2 linked regions of the Nothobranchius furzeri genome follow. The main gene of each other region encodes a partner of the protein of the gene in region 2 in a complex. Links are inferred from orthologs where the notes say so. Each region holds a gene or a part of one and is shown on either strand. Other genes may lie near its edges.

Region 1 (3,276 bases), on a different chromosome or scaffold from region 2:
TCTCTGCTTTATGCAGATGATGTGGTCCCGTTGGCTTCATCAGAACATGATCTCCGGCTCTCACTGGAGCGGTTCACAGCCGAGTGTGAAGCAGCTGGAATGAGCATCAGTTCCTCTAAATCTGAGACCATGGTCTTGAGTCGGAAAAGGGTAGAATGCCTTCTCCGGGTCAGGGATGAGGTCCTGCCCCAAGTGGAGGAGTTTAAGTATCTCAGGGTCTTGTTCACGAGGGAGGGAATGCTTGAGTGCAAGATTGCAGCATCGTACCACTCGATCCTTCTTTAACGCCTGAGCTGATAAAAGCATGATCTTACAACTGCTGTTGTCTGGCTATCTAAGTTCATGAGGGGGTCTATCTCAACTCCCAGGTTGGTAATGAGAGACCTCCTAAAGGGTGCCAGGGAGGACAGGTCGCCATCAGGAACTTTCCCAGGGCCATTTGTCCCTAACAGCGTGACCTTGTCATCATTGCGCCTGAGGAAATGTATTGCCATCCAGTTTCTGTCATCGAGACGGTCCAACAGGGACCGCTCAGAGGCGGCGCAGACGTTCCTAACATGACCTGATAGTCAGCTGTACTGTGTTCAGGTGAAACCAGATGCACTGCCTGCGAAGTAAAGAGAGAAAGGTGTGTGTCATGGAAACATGCAGAAAAATCATGCCAGTTATAGTTTGTTGTTTTTTAACATTCTCATCACACGTACCGTAGTTTGATGCTGTTACACGCACTTATTACAAAAATCCCTAGTGTGTGTGTGTGTGTGTGTGTGTGTGTGTGTGTGTGTGTGTGTGTGTGTGTGTGTGTGTGTCACGAAAAAAAAAAGGGAGATTGTATGATCCTTGTGATGAGTGATCAAATATTTAAAAACCGTACAATCATAACAATATGCTAAACAGTCATACTATTAGTGATGAAACGGTAAAAAAAATCACGTCATATAAAAACGTCAGACTTTCGAACAGGTTGTAAAAATATCTAAACGTATCTTGACATTTGTCCTGTTGTAAAGCAGGGTAATACTGCCCTCTCGTGGCTAAAACCACGCAGCACAGACTTCCGTAAACACTTCCGCACAAACCGGAAATAAGCCCCGTATGTCATGTGACTTAGCTGGTAGCTGGTAGCTCTTGTTTAGCATGTAGAGCGTCTCAGCGGTGTTTAAAGTCATCTGAAGACGGTATTTGTGCATTTTTTATAGCTTATGTGTGTTTTGTTTAGCGGGCCGTTTGTACCGGAAGCAGCATCTCTGTTGATTAGCTGACATGCTAGCTTGTTTTATTTAAACTTGAGTGTAGACTTTGAGTTAGTGGTTTTTGTGGGAGGTTTTATTTGTTAACATTCGTTTTCTGCCCACAGAGACTTAACTAGATCAGACCGTCATGGCAGACGTGAGTATGACCAGTTTTCTCAATTTTAAAGAACTTTTACAGTTTTTTAAACAAAGTAAGCTAGGTGTGTTTATGTTGCAAACGGAGACGGTTCATTTTGGTGTTTTCTAAGGTCTGATCAGATGCAGCTTAAAGCAGATTTCTCTAGAAGCTGTTTTAATCAGTTAAATGAGTCACGAGTCTGAGATTGATTTGTTTTGTCTTGAGACGCTGAAATAGGAATTAAACCAGCAACCAGACATTTAAAGCAGCAGTCTTTTTATTATTTTGCGTCCAGTTGTCATTTTGTTCACACAGCACTGATGGAGTGGTTTGTTGTCTTACTTTTATAATAAAATGTTTAATCCAGTTTTTGTGGGTTTCTCTGCAGGATTTGAAGAGATTCCTGTACAAACAGCTCCAAAGGTTGGTGTTTCCATGGGAACGCTCAGTGTTTCACCCGTATGTAGTTGTTACTGATCCATTTAAACTCTCCCAGTGTTGAAGGTCTTCATGCCATCGTAGTGACGGACCGAGACGGTGTTCCAGTTGTGAAAGGTAAGGAGCCAGTGCTAAAGTCCTCCTCACCTGCCCGGGTAAGGGGGCCATGTCCTCATTTCTCATTTTTACAGTTGCCAATGACAACGCCCCCGTCCAAGCGCTGAGACCCGGTTTCTTGTCCACCTTCGCTCTGGCCACAGATCAGGGCAGCAAACTCGGCCTGTCCAAGAACAAGAGCATCATCTGCTACTACAACTCCTACCAGGTCACACAGCAGCTCCTCTGAGCGTCGGCACAGGGATGCATTAATGTTCATGCCTTTACATAAGTCTCCATGGTGATGCGTGTTTCTTAATCAGATTGTGCAGTTCAATCGCCTCCCCCTGGTTATCAGCCTGATCGCCAGCAGCGGTGCCAACACAGGTAACATCTGTCTCTATGGAGACAAACAGATGTTCAGTCTGGTTCAGTGTTCTGTTCTGTGTTCTCAGGTCTGATCATGAGTCTGGAGAAGGAGTTGACTCCTCTAATAGAGGATCTGAGGCAGGTGGTGGAGGTGACATAGTCTCCGACTCACCAGAAGACTTGCTGCTCACCACCATCCTCACGATGTGTTTGGGTTCTGTAGGAAATTCTGCCTGCAGCTTGTTCAGTGTGGACCAGATTCATTCACGTTGCTGTAAATGTTTCCATCTGTGCTTTTAGTCTGAATAAATGTGTGGGTTCTGGGCACCAGAGTGGTTCATTTAGAGTTAAACCTAAAGAATACAGATAAGAACCTCAGAGCAGACGGAGTCCAGATGGTTTCAGAGGCTTTAATTTAAACATTCATCAGTCATGAACAAAGTGTTTCCACAATAAAACTGGTTCTCCTGCTTCTGGAAACTCACATTCTCATGTGGAGATATAAATAAGCCACTCACATGTCAGTTCTACCCACAATGCTTTGCTGCTGGCATACAGCATGGCGAGCATCAGAACCCTGACATGTCTGAGCTTCCAGCTAACTGGTGAAGCAGTTGATCTTCTGATGGACCCATAAAGATCTTCAGAATGAACAGAATTCATTTAAAATATGAGTCCTGTTCCGGATGGTTCTCATTCACCGTTTCCACGACAACCTGGAGGAGGAAGCTGCAGACGAGTGTCATCGGCCTCTTCTTACCTGAGACTGGAAACACATAGTTGGTGGATTAATGGTTGAAACTGTAAATACATTCAGAAGTATCAAGTCCTCTGAGCTTCAAGGCTCCTTGGACTCGTCGGTTAATTGAAACATGAGGGAAATGGATCAGCTGGACTCACATCCAGAGACGTGCATCTTCATCTAACCTACTTTCTCCAAGACTGAGATCATGTCCACCTGACTTCCTGTAGAGGTCATGACCTCAGGCCACCAGCTCCCTC
Region 2 (3,921 bases):
CGACCACTTGGAATGTGGAGATGGTTAGGGGGCTACCACACTGAGCATCTCTGCTCAACTCTACACCACACATGACTGCAGAAGAGTCACTTCAGCAGAAGGCTGTGGTTGAAAAGTCCCCTCTCCATCCTTGTCACCATTACCAGTGACCTACTGACAAGATGCATCTGTAGAGCAACAGGAAGTGACTGCAACTTGTGGTGAAGATGGCCAAGTCACTGGAGGCTCACTCAGACAACAGAACCAAATCTGACCAACATGACTGGCAGGTGGGTAGACACAGGGAAGAAAGACGGCGAGAGAGAGAGAAATACAGATTTTTTTATATTTATATACATATAAATATACATATATTGAGAGAGAGAGAGAGAGAGAGAGAGAGAGAGAGAGAGAGAGAGAGAGAGAGAGAGAGAGAGAGAGAGAGAGAGAGAGAGAGAGAGAGAGAATGACAGACATGAGAAAAGACAAACACTAAAACAGGCATTTACCTCTCGTGGCTTGTTGGGCATCTTTCCTACTTTTAGTTTCAGCTGGGGGGGTCCCTCCACCGTCCACTGCGGATTCTGGGGGAACTCCTGATCCGTCTGACGCCATTCCCAGTTCAGAAAGGCTCCTACGTCCCTGTTGGGCTTTGCCTTTTCCTTTACAATGAAACACGGAAGTTACTGATGAGCTAATAAAGTAAACACACATGCTGTAAATTCAACATTATACAATGTTAATTACATTTAAATCACAAATACAAACGTTTTAAGAAATGGTGTTTTATATTTATTAAAAGTACATTACCACACGGTCCTCTGTAGCTCCGTACTTTTTAGCACTCTAGAGAAACGCTGACCAACTCATTCGTAACCTTTACCCTCCTCGAACTTAACTCTGGGTAATGTAGTTTTATGTTGTCTTTCGACGAAACACGCTTCGTAAAGTCAAATGCTAGCAACACATTTTCCCATATGAAAACTATCTGCTCACAGACGACATTATTTTATTTTAAATAAATCATAAAATAGTAATTATGATTAAACTTAATCAACTCCGTGACGTACGTCATGATTTGTGTCCGAGCGCGTGACTCGAGGTCACGTGACTGTGCTGTTTGCTAACAACTCGAGACTGAGACGAGAAAGTGCTGAGAGGATTTATTCTCTTGAATTCGCGCGTTTTATACGAGACATGTAGACGAAATATTTGATTTAGCGTCACGCTTTTGTTGTTTATACATTTTTAACACAAACGAGTGAAGCAGCAGCGAGCTCCAGTCTAACTCTCAGTGCTAAAGGTGAGATCCTCTCGTTGCTGCTGGTTAAAATGGCTTAAACGGGTGTTAGCTTGTGAATAAAAACTATGTCATAAATTACGTTGATTAGATTCTCATAAACGCTTGATCCGTTTCTCAGATGAATGCTCTGGTAGCTTTGTGTCACTTCTGTGAGCTCCATGGCCCTCGGACACTATTCTGTACCGAGGCGCTACACCCTCCATCCCCAGACCCCTCCTCTCAGGTGGGCACCCCGGTTCCAGGGGACAGAGATGCTGATCGGGAGGGTGAAGGTCTGACCATGAGGGCCAGCGGGTCTGTGTCTCAAAGAGGGGAGATGTGTGAGGTGAGTGGGCATGCGTGATGGGATCTCACCCACAGTAAACCTTGGAGAAGGTTCATTCAATTCAGTTTATTTATAGTCACGACAACAGTCGTCTCAAGTCACTTCACATAGTAAACATTTCTATACAAAGGAACTCAGCAGATTGCAGTGCTCACACTAAGCAAGTGTGTAGCGACAGTGGAGTGGAAAACTCCCTTTTAGCCCCAGAAGAGCCAGGCTCAGTATGAGCAGCCACCCGCCACAACTCATTATGGTTTAAGAAGATAGAGCAGCAACATTATTTAATAATCCTGTAATCGAAGTTCTCCTTTTCCCTCCTGTCCATGCCTCACAGGGATGCCGATCTCTACCTGCGTCTCACCCAGGCTTCGTGAGCATCGATGATGAAACAGGAATTCGCTTTGTGAGCCATCAGCACCCCAGACAGTCTCAGCTTTTCAGTGTAGTTCGTCAGGCTTGTGTACGCAGTCTCAGCTGTGAGGTAAACTCTACCTGATCTAACTGAGGAGGACCTTTTCTAACCTCCCCTCCTCCAAAAACGCGAGTCTTTTTGTTGTTGGGTTTCAGGTGTGCCCTGGACGTGAAGGGCCGATCTTTTTCGGTGATGAACAACACGGGTTTGTGTTCTCACACACGTTCTTCATCAAGGACAGCCTGGCCCGTGGGTTTCAGCGCTGGTACAGTATAGTTGTAGTGGCCATGGACAGGATCTACCTCATCAACTCCTGGCCTTTCCTGTTACGACACCTCAAACTCACTATACAAAGTCTGCAAAGCACAGCTCTAAAGGTAGAGCCTAAATGTAGACTGTGCATTCATTTTTTTTTACTGGACAAACACTTTGTCATTTTAATAAGTCAGTTTGTGCTGTTTTGCCATCTTTTTGTCCATCAGGTGTTTGACACTGAACAGGGTATTTGTCCCCAGCGAGCTCTGAGGATGAACAGCGTGTTTTCTCCTGCGGTTTTTCCACATCAAAGAAGTGGCAACGCAGCCCGATCGCTAACTTCTCTCACTCAGCATCCCAATCTCTGGGCCAGCCTGCATTGCTCCTTCAGCTGGTGAGTTGAGATAGACTTTTAATAGCCAGCCATTGTGATTTCTCCACGTTACTTTTATGACTTACCAAGCTGATGTGTGTTTTCACTTCCTTTTTAGGTTACTGAAAGCCTGTGGTTGTCGTCTGACAGAAAAGCTCCTTGAAGGAGCCCCAACAGAGGACACGCTGGTTCTTCTTGAGAGAAAAACAGGTAGAAAGACATGATTTCATCAGACATTCACTGCTATGGCTAGTGTTTTTGTTTGTTCAACTAGTCAGCCTGAAATCCGTAAGAGTGAATCACAGAGTCGATCGGGAAAGGCATTTGATCCAGGAAAACATGACACACCACTTCACAGTTAAACCCCGGTTTGTCGAGATTTAGAAAGTGATTAAAAGACTTTTGGAGAATTTTTGGGGCTCGGCCCAGACACGACTGTGGAATGAACTTTGTTCATTGATAAAAAATAAAAATAAATGTCCAAACAAAAACCTTTTTTTTACATGATTCTAAATCATTTAATGGAAATGATCAATGTTTTCTTCAAAAACCACAGAGCAGCTTTGCAGTAGTCACAGCCTGGCAGCCCACAGACATTCCTGGGTGTCTCCTTCTAGCAGATTATCTAATGCGACCCCCCCCCCCCCCCCCCCCCATATACCCTATGGGCCAGCTGTTCCCAGATCAGCGCAACAGGGTTCTGGCACGCAGCAGAAAGAAACATGATATTTTCAAGTGATCTCAAATATTTGTCTGGTAATGTAGATGATAGCTAGCCTGGCCGGCCAGACTCGTCCTCTGTTTAATTCTGCACAAAGAGTCTGGTAACTCACAGGCGGAGAGGCACTTGAGGGGCGGGACTAGACAGCTCAAAAATAACCAATGAGAAAAAAGACGTACATGCCGACTGTACCATGCAACGCTGTAGTTAAAAAATGGCGTCTAGCAACGGCGCAGACATCTATTATTCTTTTAAAGTCAAAGTTAAAGTCCCATTAGTTGTCACACACACAGGTATGTGTGTGACATTTATTCTCCGCATTTGACCCATCCCCTGGGGGAGCGGTGAGCTGCAGACACAGCCGCGCTCGGGAACTATTTGGTGGTTTAAGCCCCCAATCCAACCCCTTAATGCTGAGTGTCAAGCAGGGAGGCATTGGGTCCCAATTTTTCAGTCTTTGGTATGACCCGACCAGGAGTTGAACCCCTGATCTCCCAGTCTCAGGACACTCTACCACTAGGCCACTGAGAAAGGGTAGAAGAAAGGCTTTTAG

The links.
Region 1: flcn (region 2) and lamtor3 share a complex: the UniProt entries of both Homo sapiens proteins name them as parts of the lysosomal folliculin complex. The link is inferred for Nothobranchius furzeri from reciprocal best matches to the Homo sapiens genes FLCN and LAMTOR3.

Annotation. Positions count from the first base shown.
Region 1 is NC_091758.1:44,827,904-44,831,179, reverse strand, and holds lamtor3 (ragulator complex protein LAMTOR3), read left to right. Parts: upstream 1-1,061; 5' UTR 1,062-1,178; intron 1,179-1,357; 5' UTR 1,358-1,380; coding exon 1,381-1,389; intron 1,390-1,759; coding exon 1,760-1,794; intron 1,795-1,867; coding exon 1,868-1,926; intron 1,927-2,000; coding exon 2,001-2,134; intron 2,135-2,228; coding exon 2,229-2,292; intron 2,293-2,360; coding exon 2,361-2,434; 3' UTR 2,435-2,599; downstream 2,600-3,276. Other genes in the region: dapp1 (dual adapter for phosphotyrosine and 3-phosphotyrosine and 3-phosphoinositide), read right to left, coding at 3,017-3,040. UniProt on the Homo sapiens protein: As part of the Ragulator complex it is involved in amino acid sensing and activation of mTORC1, a signaling complex promoting cell growth in response to growth factors, energy levels, and amino acids.
Region 2 is NC_091745.1:76,768,633-76,772,553, reverse strand, and holds the start of flcn (folliculin), read left to right. Parts: upstream 1-1,075; 5' UTR 1,076-1,282; intron 1,283-1,400; coding exon 1,401-1,607; intron 1,608-1,941; coding exon 1,942-2,088; intron 2,089-2,174; coding exon 2,175-2,396; intron 2,397-2,501; coding exon 2,502-2,668; intron 2,669-2,765; coding exon 2,766-2,857; intron 2,858-3,921. Other genes in the region: leng9 (leukocyte receptor cluster member 9), read right to left, coding at 489-594. UniProt on the Homo sapiens protein: Multi-functional protein, involved in both the cellular response to amino acid availability and in the regulation of glycolysis.